3 linked regions of the Oryctolagus cuniculus genome follow. The protein of the gene in region 2 purifies or fractionates together with the protein of the main gene of each other region. This does not show direct contact. Links are inferred from orthologs where the notes say so. Each region holds a gene or a part of one and is shown on either strand. Other genes may lie near its edges.

Region 1 (4,391 bases), on a different chromosome or scaffold from region 2:
AGGCAGACACGCGCAGCACGAGTCCGCGGGGCACCCGGGTCCGCATCTGCCGAGCGCGGCCCGCGGGCCGCGAGTACGTGAGGGGGCGGGGCTTCGGGCTCCGCGGGAGGAGGGGACGGGCCCGGGAAGGAGGCGGGGTCTGGAGCTCGGCGCTCGGAAGGAGGCGGAGCCTCGCTTCGGGTTCCCTCGGTCCGCGTCGGAGGTTTGAGCTCACCGCTTCGAGGTGGGGCCACAAGCTTCAGCTTACTTCGGCGGCAGCCGAGTGCGCCAATCGCTGTTCGGATGTGGGCGGGGTCACGAGCTTCGGCTTACTTCGGAGGTAGCCGAGTGCGCTAATCGGGGTTCGGATGTTGGCGGGGTCCCCAGCTCGGCCGGATGTGGGCGGGGCCACGAGCTTCGGCTCCCTTCGGAGGTAGTCGGGTGCAAGTGCCCCGCGTTTGCGACTGAGCGTCCAACCTCGTTTTCACGGGGGGCGGGGAGAAAGCGACCCCCGAGGGGGCGGCGCTCTGAGGGCCGCGTGCGCCGGGGGCAGGAACGGGGTAGAACCGGGGAGCCGGAGGGCTGCGGCTGGGCGGGGCCGAGGGGTCCGGGGGCGGGGCGGTCCCAGCCTCCCGCCTCGCTGAGGTGGCGGAATGACGAGTCTGACGCGGGGGGTCGCCATGGGTGGGCGGAGGAAGCCGCGCGAGGCGCGCTGCGTAGGGGGCGGCTCCACCTCGGTCGGGACTTGGTGTTTACCAGGAGACCAGCTGCTTTTACCGGAGGACGGCGGGACACTCTGAGGGGAAGCAAGGACGCGGACGGACAGCTCGCAAGTGAGCTGACCCCGCCCGCGCGAGGGACGGCGGGTGCGCGGGGGCGGGGCCTCTGGCTTAGGGGTTCGGTCGTGGGGCGGGCACTCCCCGACCCGGCAGCCTGGCGGGGGGCGGGCCCAGGCTGCAGGATTGACAGGTCCCGAGAACTCCCGAACGCTGAGCGCCCTGCGCTCGGGAGGGGGCGGGGCTTCGAGCACGGAGAGCCGAACCCCGGCGGCTCCAGGGGAGTGGCCGAGCTCGGGCTTCCGGGAGGGGGCGTGGCCTCGGCGGCGCTCTGACGGGCAGGAGGCGGTGCCAAAGGTGGCCGCCCCGGAGGGGGCGTGGCGCCGCGCCTGCGTCGGTTTCTGTCTGAGGCGCGAAGGCACGGCGGCGGGTCCTGCGGTGGCGGCGCCGAGCGAGGCGCCGACCGCCGGGTGCGGAGGCTGTGCCGCGGCCAGGGCGAGGTCCCGCCCCTCCGAGGCCCGCGGGCGGCTCCGGGGCCGGGGCGGGGCTCCGGCGCGACCCCCGGGCGGCCGGCGGCGCCGCGCGGTTTGAGTGACCGCCTCGCCTTCGGCTCCCGCAGGAGGATGCTGGTGGTGGAGGTGGCGAACGGGCGCTCCCTGGTGTGGGGGGCCGAGGCGGTGCAGGCGCTGCGCGAGCGCCTGGGCGTGGGGGGCCGCACGGTGGGCGCCCTGCCCCGCGGGCCCCGCCAGAACTCGCGCCTGGGCCTCCCGCTGCTGCTGATGCCCGAAGAGGCGCGGCTGCTGGCCGAGATCGGCGCCGTGACCCTGGTCAGCGCCCCGCGCCCGGATCCGCGCCAGCACGGCCTGGTAAGGGGTCTGAGCCCGGGACCTCGGGGTCGGGCTGCACGCTGGGCGCGGGGCTGCAGCTGAGTCCGCCCCGCAGGCTCTGGCATCCTTCAAGCGCCAACAAGAGCAGAGCTTCCAGGAGCAGAGCGCCTTGGCCGTGGAGGCCCGGGAGGCCCGGCGTCAGGAGCTGCTGGAGAAGATCGCGGAGGGCCAGGCCGCCAAGAAGCAGAAGCTGGAGCAGGAGGCGGGGGCCGGCGGGGCGCGGGAGGCGGCCGCAGGGCAGGCCCAGGAGGGCCAGGCTTCCGGGGAGCAGGAGGAGGCAGGTGAGCGCGGGCCTGACCCCGGGGAGTGCAGCGTGGGGGCCGGCGACCGAGCCTAACCTCACCCCCCTGCCCCAGCCCCCTCGTCTTCCCAGCCAGGGCCTTCCGGTGGGGCGGCCCCCTTGCCCAGGTCCGCTCTGCTCGTCCAGCTGGCCACCGCCAGGCCGCGACCGGTCAAGGCCAGGCCGCTGGACTGGCGCGTGCAGTCCGAGGACTGGCCGCACGCCGGCCGGCCTGCCCACGAGCTGCGCTACAGCATCTACAGGGACCTGTGGGAGCGCGGCTTCTTCCTCAGCGCCGCGGGCAAGTTCGGCGGCGACTTCCTGGTCTACCCAGGTGAGTCTGGGCTGGGCCCCGGCCGCTGCACCGGGTCCCGGCGTAGTCGGCCTTTTTCCTTTTTTTTTTTTTTTTTGGTTTCTTCTAAAGACAGAGCAATAGAGGGGTCATGCATCCATTGGTTCATTCCCCGCATGGCTGCAAGTGCCAGGGCTGGGCCGGGCCAGGAACTCCATGGGGTACCCGGGCCTCCCACGTGGGTGGCAGGGATCCAGGGACTGGGCCATCTTCCACTGCCTCCCCAGGCGCATCAGCAGGGAGCTGGGTCCGAACAGAGTAGCCGGGACTGCAACCGGGACGCTGGGATTTCTGTTTGCCTCACATTTTTCCGACTTTTGAAACTCTTGGAAGGACAGGAACCACTGGGGAGCCCCCAAGTTCACTTAGGAGGTGGTTTGGTAGCTTTCATGAGATGTTTCCTGTGACCCCCAAGGCTCACTTGGAAATCTGTAGACAGCTGCACAGGAGTGCCCCCTGCAGGATCATCCGCAGCATTTAGAGATCGGGAGACACAGGGCCAGCAACGCGGCCTCGTGGGTAAAGCCACCGCCTGTGGTGCCGGCCTCCCATGTGGGTGCTGGTTCGAGTCCCGGCTGCTCCACTTCCGATCCAGCTCCCTGCTAATGCACCTGGGAAAGCAGGGGAAGATGGCCAAGTGCTTGAGCCCCTGCACCCACGTGGGAGACCTGGAGGAAGCTCCTAGGTTCTGGCTTTGGCCTGGCCCAGCCACTTGGGGAGTGAACCAGAGGATGAAACACCTCTCTGTCTCTCCCTCTCTGTAAATCTTTCAAATAAATGACTATATCTTTAGAAAAGTTGGAAAACAGCCAAAGAGATTATTACTAAGTTAGCAGTCAGAAAACAAAGCAATAGCTGTCAGAGGTTGATGTAGGCACCGGCACCGGGAGCCGAGCGGCAGAGACGCGCCCACCAGGGGCTCTGCCGACAGTGCCAGCGCGGTGCCGTCCCGGGGCTGCCCGAAGCCCCGCCTCCAAATACCGGAGCCGGAGCAGGCTCCGCCGCACCCCATCGGTCCACATTAGCCCCGGGGCTTTGGGGTTCTGCGTGAGTTTGGGGGGCCACGTCCTGGTCAGACCACGGCAGCGTCACCGGCGGTTCCCGGGTGGGGCTGGGAGGCCGTCCACTCCACATTTGGTTGTTTGCGTCGGATAGCGACGAGGAAGGATAAGAGCGATCGCCCCCCTGTGCAAGTACGGCAGCCGGGGCCGTGTCGCTGCCCGGCGCCTACCTGCCTCTCTCCCTCAGGCGACCCGCTCCGTTTCCACGCGCACTACATCGCCCAGTGCTGGGCCCCCGACGACCCCATCCCCCTGCAGGACCTGGTCTCTGCCGGCCGCCTGGGCACCAGCGTGAGGAAGACCGTGCTGCTCTGCTCCCCACAGCCCGGCGGCAAGGTGGTCTACACCTCCCTGCAGTGGGCCGGCCTGCAGTGAGCGCCCTGGCCCGTCGGACTCTGCATCCTTCCGGCTCCCCGCCGCGAGCTCTCAGTGGCTGTGCTGGTGTCGTTGTGACCGGTTCCCAAACTGTGGGCTTCTGGGACCCGGCGTGTTCATCTGTTCCTGCAGGGCCTCGGTCCCAGGAGGCCTCAATAAACTTGTGGACTCACCCTGAGTTTGTGGCTGCAGTCCTGGGAGGTGACATGTGGGTGCTCCCATCCGCGGGGACAGCTGTGGAGACGGCGTGGGGAGGCCGGGCGCCCTGCCCCGGTCCCCTTGCGCCGCAGAGGTTGTACAGAGAACACTGTGCAGCCGCTGCGAGTTCAGGGCTCAGAATTTGGGGGCGTCAGTGGGGGCTTCTAGAATGTTTCCGTGTCCTGGGTGGTGCTTCAGAATTGTTTTGATGTTGTTTACTTACACGTGTATTTAAATGTTTATCTCCTTTCTATCTGAGAGAGACATCTCCCATCCACTGGTTCACTCCCCAGACGCCCACAACGGCCAAGGCCAGGCCAGGCCAAAGCCAGGAGCAGGCAACTCCGTCTGGGTCTCCCATTGGAGTGGCAGGGACCTGTGCAGCTGGGCCGTCACCTGCTGCCTCCCAGGGAGCTGGGGTCAGAAGTGTGGCCAGGACTCACACCCAGTGCTCCAGCAGGGGCCGCGGCATTCTGTCACACC
Region 2 (4,531 bases):
GGGAGTGGGGCAGCGGAGTCTCAAACTGGCACCCATCTGGGATGGTGGCACTGCAGGCAGCGGCTCTACCTGCTATGTCACAGCACCGGCCCCCTTTATTCCTATCTTGAAATCCACTTTTTCACAAACTTTTTGGTGGACTCTCATATTAGATATTCTATGTAACCCAAGAGGATTTAAAATACACAGGAGAGGGCTGGCATTGGGCCACAGCAGGTTAAGTTGCAGCCTGTGACGCTGACATCCAGGATCCCATAAGGGTGCTGGTTCGAGTCTTGGCTGCTGCACTTCTGATCCAGCTCCCTGCTAGTGCACCTGGGTCAGCAGTGGAAGATAACCCAAGCGCGTGGGTCCCTGCACCCACGTGGGAGACCTGCATGAAGATCCAGGCTGCAGGCTTTGGCCTGGCCCAGACTCAGCCACTGGGGCCATTTGGGGAATGAGCCAGCAGACGGAAGCTCTCTGCCTTTCCCTCTCTCTGAAACTCCACTTTTCAGATAAATAAATAAATCTTTGAACAAAAAAACAAAGTACACAGGGGCACGCGTGTAGGTTTTCTGCAAATTCTACAGCTTTTCAGAGACGGGACTGAACATTCAGGCTTCACCACCCACGGGGGGTCCTGGAACCCATCCCCATGGGTGTCAAGGGACGACTGTGTTCCAACCCACGTATGCAACAGAAGGGTCCCTGCCTCAAAATATTGCCATCACTTTACAACCCAAGTCTGGAGACACTTGTGGCCTCGTGACGGCAGGAGCAAGGCGGTTCCATACACACAGGCTGCGTTAGCGTGTCACCCTGCACACCCCTCTCAGCCGTTTCTTCACCTTCAACAGGTGAAGTTCAACAGGACTAGAGCGCCGCCTGCCAGTTCCCTGTCCAGTCATCCAATGGTTACCATGTAACCCAGCCACACCACTCCCAAGTACAGATCGGGGAAAAGGGCAGACAGGCTCCCGGAGAGATCTGCACAGGAAGCGTTATTATTCATAGGAGCCCAGGAGAAACCAAGCAATGCGAACGTCCATCAAGAAAGAGATGACTGGGCAACAAAACGGGGTCCATCGGCACGACGGAATCGTATTCACCAAAGAAAGCAACGCCGTTCTGACCCCCCTTGGAAGCACTGAGCTAAGTGGGAGAAGCCCCCTGGGAGACCACGAATCCCACGCAAGTCCATAGGGGCAGACAGGCCAGGAGCTGCTGGGACAGAGAGACAGGGGGACCCGGGAGGGTGACTGCCAGCAGATACAGGCCTGTGGAGTAAAGACATGCCCGCGTTAGGTACAGTGCGGTGACTCTGGCCCGCACGTTTCAGAAGGGTGGGTTGTGGGAGCTGTGCGTCTCCGTAAAGCTGCACCTCAGGCAGCATCACGGCCGCCACCGTGAGGTTCCTCAAAGGGCGGAAAGCAAGCTCTCCAGGGAACACAGCATCCGCAGGGGAGCGGGGTCGTCCCCGGCTTCACAGAGCAGGTGTCCTGCACTGGGCCGGCGGACAAAGCAGAGGCAGGACTGCACTGGCCGCCCCCTTACCCGCAGTGTTCAGTGCCGACGCAACCGGTGGGGGGAGCGAGAAACCAGAGCCTGTACCACCACAGGTAGGCGCGGGGTGCCAGTGGGAAAAACTAGACTCGCTTGGCACACACAGGTGCACAGAGGGCAAGTCACCTGCCCACGGCCTCACTGCCTGGAAACAGAGCTCCGTGCGGCCAGCAGGGGCCTGCGAGGTGGGCGGGCCCAGCCCCACCAGGAACACTACCCGCGCCCACTAAACCCACAGGCAGGACTGGCTCAGCAGTCAGGGCTCTCGGTGCAAACACTGGCTTCGACTTGACACCACTGCAGTGTCTTTTCTTTTTAAAGATCTATTTATTTGAAAAGCAGAGAGAGAGAGAAGGCAGGAGATGAGAGAGATCTTCCATCCATTCCCAAATGGCTGCAACAGCCAGGTCTGGGCCAAGGCGGAAGCCAGGATCCAGGAACTCCACGCTGGTCTCCCCCATGGGTGGCAGGGCGCCCGGCGTCCAGGCCACCCTCTGCCTGACCCTGACGCGGAGCAGCTGGGACTTGAACTGGCACTCCAGTACGTATGGCGTGCCAGGGTCACGACCGGCGGCTTGGCCCTCTCAGCCATAACGCCAGCCCCCACTGCAGGTTCTCTGGCGGAGAAGTGAACAGATGAAGAAACCAGCCTGGGAGTGGTGTTCGTGTGTGCACGGTGGGCAAGGGTGAAGGCTGGCAACGCGGTACCAGCGGTTCAACAGCTGCTTGAGCCACGCCTCCCGTCGGAGCCCCGGGTTCGAGTCCTGGCTGCTCTGCTTCTGACACGGCTTCCTGCGAGTGTGCCCGGGGTGGGAGTCACTGGTGATGGTTCCAGTGCTTGGGCCCCTGCCCGCCCCGTGCGCGAGACCAGGACGGATTCCCGGCTCCTGGCTTTGGCCTGGCTCAGACCTGGCCCGAACGCTGCCGCCAGCTGGGCTCGGCCGCTCTGCCTGTCAAATAAATCAACCTTACAACAACAAGCCAGGCCTGCTCCTTACTCTCCCCTCCGGGGAACAACGGGGCGCCTAGCCGCGCAGCCTCCCCAGGGAAAAGCACGCTGGACGCTCCACCCGCGGACGGCGAGGAGGACGGGCGAAGCAGACACACCTGCGCGGCGCGCAGCAGCCGCAGCCCGAGCACCGCGGGCGGACACACGCACGCGCGGGCCGCGGCCGGGCGCTGGCCAGCCGCATTCCTCGGCCCCCTCCTTCCTCGGGGAGGCCCCCGCCCCGACCCTCCAGCGGCCGCGGCTCCCCTCAGGCCGACGGCCGGGCGCACGGGGCAGTGCCAGCGCCGGACGAGGCGTCGGCGTCCGCAGCAACGGGCGGAGGACTCGGCGCCCGGCAGCACGCGGAAGCCTGGCCCCTACCCGGCCCTCGCCGGTCCGGCCTCGGGCGCCTCCCCCTCGCCCCGCTGACCGAGCCTCCATCCCGCTCGCTCCCAGCCCGGCCTCCTTACCTGTCTCGGCTCCACGCGCTCGCCGTAACCTCGGCAACGCCGGTCGGGGCGCCAACACCGCTGCCGTAAAGCGGCACGGCCGCAAAGCTAGCCGACTGCGCAGCCGCAGAGCTCACGGGCGCGCCCCTCGGCTGTTGGCGGAGTGCGCCTGCGCAGGCCTGTAGGCGGGGCCCTTGTGCACCTGGCTCGCCTCCTCGCGTGCTCTCTAACCCGGGCGGCGCGAATTCTGGCCCGAGATGACACGGACAACCCCTCTGTACAGATGCTACGCTCCTTTCACTCCCCCTCACAAACCCATTTCACAGACGAGGCGCGCAGTCGCCTGTCCAGTGTCACCCAGTGACACCGTTACAGGTCATGGAGCTGAGACCTAGAGTCCTCGCCCCCCGGAGGCACGGGACCCTTGAGGCCACCAGACCTGGGGGAAAGGACCCTCTGAGGCCGGCCCTGAAGGCGGCCCCTGCTTTCTCTGTGTGCAGCGCGGCCCCGGGCGCACCTGTCGGGCCCCCGCAGACACCTGTGCGCCCCGGCTGAACCACAGCCCGGGAATTCTGAGGTGTCGCCGCCACCTCCCTTGGTCCCAGGGGGGCTGTGAGTTGCAGGTCCGACGAGAGGCCGAGACCACAGCCGGGGTCTCCGCCTCCCGGCCTGGCACCCGTCGTTTCGGGATTTGGGATTCACTGGTTATGGGATTTCAGGTGACGTCACCTGGAGCCCTGTCCACCCGGAGGGTTGGGAGCAAAGCCACTGAACAAGAGATTCTTCCCCAAGATTTTCTCCTCGACGTACAATCAGTGTTTTAAACTTAAAAGAGGTATTTGGAAGGCACCGGGACAAAGAGAAGTAGAATCTTCCACGCGCTGGTTCGCTCCCCGAATCCCACCATAGCCAGGGCCGGGCCAGGCTGAGCCAGGAGCTGGGAACACCATCTGGGCCTCCCACGTGAGGCTCGGCACTGGGCCATCGCTGCTGCCTCCCGGGGTGCGTTAGCAGGAAGCCGGATCGCAAGCCGAGGTGGGACCAGCGCCAGCCCCTCCAAGGTGGGTGCAGGGGTAACCAAGCAGCTGCCGGCCCGGCTGTGCCACCAGGCTCGCCCCTCACCGTACATTTGTAAATAACCTTTTCTCATCATTTTTCAGGTTTTCCCCGAAGCGGACAGGACCGTGTAGTGCGTGGTCTCCGCACCCCCGCATCTTGGATGGACATCTTGCGTCTTTAACTCACTCAGTAGATGCTGCTGGCCCCCTGCTGGACGGTTTTAAAACAACCCCAGAGAAGCGGCATTTAAGTCCGCAGCGCCGAGCGATAAGGAAATGCTGCGTCACGCGTGCATGGCATAGCTTCACACGCACGACTGTCACTGTTCCAGATAGTTCCGTTCTGCAAACAGCCACTCAGTGAAGGCTGGGGAGCAGAGAGCTGGCTTCCTGTGAACCTCCCGCCACAACGTTTGCATCAGCTGACCAATGCACAACCTGGTTTTCTGTGTTTCTGTTTAAAGACGCCTTACATAATCCTCGCGCACGGT
Region 3 (4,241 bases), on a different chromosome or scaffold from region 2:
CGTTTCTTGTGACTGCGATGGGTGGTGCAGGGTCCATCAGAGGTGCGCGCTCCTGGGTGTGGGACACTTGTTCCCTGTGACTTTCCGTGGGAGGCTCAGGGGTGGCCCTGCTGCTCCCCCCGGCGTCCGTGTCCCGTGATTCCATGTGGGAGGCTCAGGGGTGGCCCTGCTGCTCCCCCCGGCGTCCGTGTCCCGTGACTCTCCGTGGGAGGCTCAGGGGTGGCCCTGCTGCTCCCCCCGGCGTCCGTGTCCCGTGACTCTCCGTGGGAGGCTCAGGGGTGGCCCTGCTGCTCCCCCCGGCGTCCGTGTCCCGTGACTCTCCGTGGGAGGCTCAGGGGTGGCCCTGCTGCTCCCCCCGGCGTCCGTGTCCCGTGACTCCGCGTGGGGAGGCTCAGGGGTGGCCCTGCTGCTCCCCCCGGCGTCCGTGTCCCGTGACTCTCCGTGGGGAGGCTCAGGGGTGGCCCTGCTGCTCCCCCCGGCGTCCGTGTCCCGTGACTCTCCGTGGGGAGGCTCAGGGGTGGCCCTGCTGCTCCCCCCGGCGTCCGTGTCCCGTGACTCTCCGTGGGGAGGCTCAGGGGTGGCCCTGCTGCTCCCCCCGGCGTCCGTGTCCCGTGACTCTCCGTGGGAGGCCCGGGGTTGGCACTCCTTCCCCCAGCGTGTATCCTGCTCCACTTTCCCACGCGCACTCCGGCGGCTCTGGCCCGCGAGCTGGGGCTCTCCTGGGCAGGCGTGCGCCCCCCGTCGTCCCGCTCGCTTCCCGCACCCCTAGGCGGTGGCCCGGCGCACTATGCCCGGGAGTTCTGGCGGCTTCCTGCTGGGCCTCGTGCCCAGGGCCTGCCGAGTCCGGAAGGAGACGTCCCGTCCGGCCTGGGTCCGGCCTGGGCCTCTGGGTTCCGAGCCGCCCGCCCCGCGGCCCCTTCCTCCCAGGCTCCCGCGCTGCACCCCGCAGCGGCGCCGGGCCGGCGACCGCCCTCTCCTCAGGCCGCTTCCCCGCTCCTGGGGACGCGGCCCCTCATCCGCTCCCCGCATCCCCGGACGCGGGCTCTGAGCGCCGCGGCGGCCGCCTCACGCGGGACTCGGCCCGGCTCTGAGGAAACGCGGCGACGCCGGGAGGCGTCTGCGACTTCCGGTCCGGGCGGGCTGCGGGGGCAGCGGAACCCAGGCGCGAGGCCCGTGCTCCCGGCCGGACGCCGATCCGCGTGCACTGGAGGCGGAGCCCGGCGCGCGGCCCCAGCCGCGGGCCGCACGTGCGCAGCCGGGAGGCGGAGCCAGGCGCGCGGGTCGGTGCAGCGCGGCGCGCCATGGCGGAGCGCGGCGGCGACGGCGGCGCTCGCCCGTGGGCCCCCGAGGACGCCTGGATCGGCAGCCACCCCAAGGTGAGGGGCCGGGCGCGGGCTCCTCTCACGCGTGGGCGGAGACGCGGCCGGGAGCCGTGCGGGGTGGCGCGTGGGCGGGGACGCGGCCGGTGAGCCGTGCGGGGTGTCGCGTGGGCGGGGACGCGGCCGGGAGCCATGCGGGGTGTCGCGTGGGCGGGGACGCGGCCGGTGAGCCGTGCGGGGTGTCGCGTGGGCGGGGACGCGGCCGGGAGCCATGCGGGGTGTCGCGTGGGCGGGGACGCGGCCGGGGAGCCGTGCGGGGTGTCGCGTGGGCGGGGACGCGGCCGGGGAGCCGTGCGGGGTGTCGCGTGGGCGGGGACGCGGCCGGGGAGCCGTGCGGGTGGCGATGGGCCCGCGAGGTCGGGAGGGCCGGTTGCCCCGTGTGCCGAGTCCCGCCCCCGCCCCCCGCCCTCGCCCTCGCCCCCTCCCCCGCCCTCGCCCCCTCCCCCTCTCCCCCGCACCCAGGGCGGCGCGGTGTTGGGGGTCTCCCCCTGAGAAACGGGGTGACCACGGCGCGCACCGCGTGGGGCTCCTCCGGCTTAGGTCGGTGGCTGTTGGTCAGGCGTCTGCCGCGGGGAGTGGCCGTGCTGGTCACTCAGCTCGCTCTTTTACGTTTCTTAAGACTGGGGCCGGCGCTGTGGCGCAGCCGGTTAAAGCCCTGGCCTCCCATATGGGCGCCGGTTCGAGTCCCGGCTGCTCTCTGCTGTGGCCTGGGAAAGCAGTGGAGGATGGCCCAGGGGCTTGGGCCCTGCACCCGCGTGGGAGACCGGGAAGAAGCTCCTGGCTTCAGATGGGCACAGCTCTGGCTGTTGCAGCCATTGGAGGAGTGAACCAGCGGATGGAAGACCCCTCTCTCTGTAACTCTGTCTTTAGAGACTTTACCGTTTATTTGGAAGAGTTAGAGAGAGGGAGAGGGAGACCCGACCCTCCACCGTTCACTCCCCGGATGAGTGCAGTGGCTGGGGCTGCAGGATGCCGGCCACTTGGCCGGTGGTCAGTGGCCTGGTGGCCCGTGGTCGTGGCTTCCTGCGGTGTGCACAGAGCCAGCCCCAGGCTCAGCCTCCAGTGCAGGCCGTGATAGACTGAGCGTGGAGGCCGAGTTCCGCAGAGAACTGAGGGACTTAGCGTTTCCTGCCCAGCACTTTTCTCACTGAGTCCGCTCAGTCGGTTGTGAAGAGGCCCGGCCGGGTGCAGTGCGGGTCCGTGTGCAGACCTGCGCTCTGTAGACCTGGACAGCAAGCTTCGGAGCGGACGCACTCTGCAGTCGGGGAGAAATAAACACCAGTGGGTATCTGATTTCCGGCTCTGCCTTTGTGTGGCTCGGTTTGCCAGTGACTTAGGTCCGTCCGTGGAGCGTGGTGGCAGGGCGGCCCCCGCAGGCACCACTCCCCTGCCGTCCGGCTCACAGCCCCTCGGCGCCCCGTCGCGCGGAGGATCCGGACCTCTGGCGTGGCCCCGCCTGCGGTTGCATGGCAGCCCTGATCTGCACCTGTGCGCTGACACCCGTCTTCCCAGCCGCCCTCGCGGAGCTCGCCCTGCGCGAGCCCTGCTCGCCCGGGGACGCGCGGCCTCGGCGTCCCCTCGGAGACGCGTTCCCCCTGCAGCTGGTTTGTCCGCTTCGGTGACACCTCCCGGGCGTGGGGAGGAGGGGGCGTGGCGTTCCGGCAGTGTCTCCCCATGCAGGTGACAGGCCCCCACGAGACCCCGGGACAGCCCACGGCTGCTGCTGCGGGTCTCGGACGCGTGTGGCTCACCCTCACCTTGTCGACTGCTCGCTGTGGCTCTGCGTTGCTTGTTCTAAGGGCAGGGCCTTGGGCCCGTTCTGTCACTCACCGGCCACACCCCGAGGGGAGCTCCGTGTGTGGTCTCATCCCATCGCGGTCACAGGTCGTTTTTGCCCAGTTTGTGTGTTCTGACAGCTGCAGACCCTCCGGAGGCAGATGCCATCCTGCGTCGCCCTCTACCTTCTGTGCAGATAGCACACGTGCAGTGACACGCGCCCACTGGAGGGGCACCCGAGCCTCCCTTCCGCGTCTGACGCCCCCATTTTGATTTCCAGTATTTGGAGATGATGGAGTTGGATGCGGGAGATGCCACGCAAGTGTACGCAGCGTTCTTGGTTTTCCTGGACCTCATGGAGAGTAAGCCGCCCACCTCTGTGTGGACTGGGGCCGTGCTGGGGTCGGGCGCTGGGTTGGGATCTCCGCGCTGACGTTACGGTGAGCAGTCGCTCATGCATTTGCTGCTAGTTTTGTCAAGCAGTTTTGCAGCTTCCTTATCTTTTTACGTTGGGAATTATTGAGTAACAGAAACGCTAGACGAGTAGAGAAGAGGCCGGGGTAAGGGTGACATTGCCACATAGAAGTTCGGAGCCTTTACTTTGGCTTTTGATAAGCGGTCTTGCCCGTTCGACGCGGCTCTTCCAGGTAAAAGTTGGCATGAAGTGAACTGCGTGGGACTGCCAGAGCTGCAGCTCATCTGCCTGGTCGGCACGGAGATAGAAGGGGAGGGCTTGCAGACCATTGTGCCCACGCCCGTCACAGCCTCCCTCAGCCACAACAGGTGAGCGCGGGTTTTGGTCTTGGCTAACCGACAGTTCAGAAGCGAAGCAGCCGGGATTCAAACCCGTGGACAAGAGATGCTGGTGTTGTAGGCTTCGACTTAACCTGCCACACTCTAACATAGATCCCACATTCTTTTTTTATATTATTAACAGTAAATGTTTGTTGGTTGTGTTTTGAGTTTGTGAATCTTTCATTGTCTTATTTATTTGTTTACTTGATCGGCCGTGAGAAGAGACTGGTCTTCCGTCTGCTGGTTCACCCCCAGATGAAGTAGCCAGGGCTGGGGCGGGTGGCAGCCAGG

Evidence for each region.
Region 1: the proteins of TSEN2 (region 2) and TSEN34 purify together in Homo sapiens (affinity purification with mass spectrometry; 3 studies listed by BioGRID and IntAct, counting the BioPlex papers as one, with this or other methods). This does not show direct contact. The link is inferred for Oryctolagus cuniculus from reciprocal best matches to the Homo sapiens genes TSEN2 and TSEN34.
Region 3: the proteins of TSEN2 (region 2) and TSEN15 purify together in Homo sapiens (affinity purification with mass spectrometry; 4 studies listed by BioGRID and IntAct, counting the BioPlex papers as one, with this or other methods). This does not show direct contact. The link is inferred for Oryctolagus cuniculus from reciprocal best matches to the Homo sapiens genes TSEN2 and TSEN15.

Annotation. Positions count from the first base shown.
Region 1 is NC_091449.1:4,517,885-4,522,275, reverse strand, and holds TSEN34 (tRNA-splicing endonuclease subunit Sen34), read left to right. Parts: upstream 1-1,378; coding exon 1,379-1,621; intron 1,622-1,697; coding exon 1,698-1,923; intron 1,924-1,998; coding exon 1,999-2,256; intron 2,257-3,522; coding exon 3,523-3,710; downstream 3,711-4,391. UniProt on the Homo sapiens protein: Constitutes one of the two catalytic subunit of the tRNA-splicing endonuclease complex, a complex responsible for identification and cleavage of the splice sites in pre-tRNA. It cleaves pre-tRNA at the 5'- and 3'-splice sites to release the intron.
Region 2 is NC_091441.1:114,767,898-114,772,428, forward strand, and holds the start of TSEN2 (tRNA-splicing endonuclease subunit Sen2), read right to left. Parts: upstream 2,870-4,531; 5' UTR 2,739-2,869; coding exon 2,653-2,738; intron 1-2,652.
Region 3 is NC_091444.1:1,816,601-1,820,841, forward strand, and holds the start of TSEN15 (tRNA-splicing endonuclease subunit Sen15), read left to right. Parts: upstream 1-1,221; 5' UTR 1,222-1,301; coding exon 1,302-1,376; intron 1,377-1,846; exon of another isoform or gene 1,847-2,660; intron 2,661-3,435; coding exon 3,436-3,517; intron 3,518-3,802; coding exon 3,803-3,938; intron 3,939-4,241. UniProt on the Homo sapiens protein: Non-catalytic subunit of the tRNA-splicing endonuclease complex, a complex responsible for identification and cleavage of the splice sites in pre-tRNA. It cleaves pre-tRNA at the 5' and 3' splice sites to release the intron.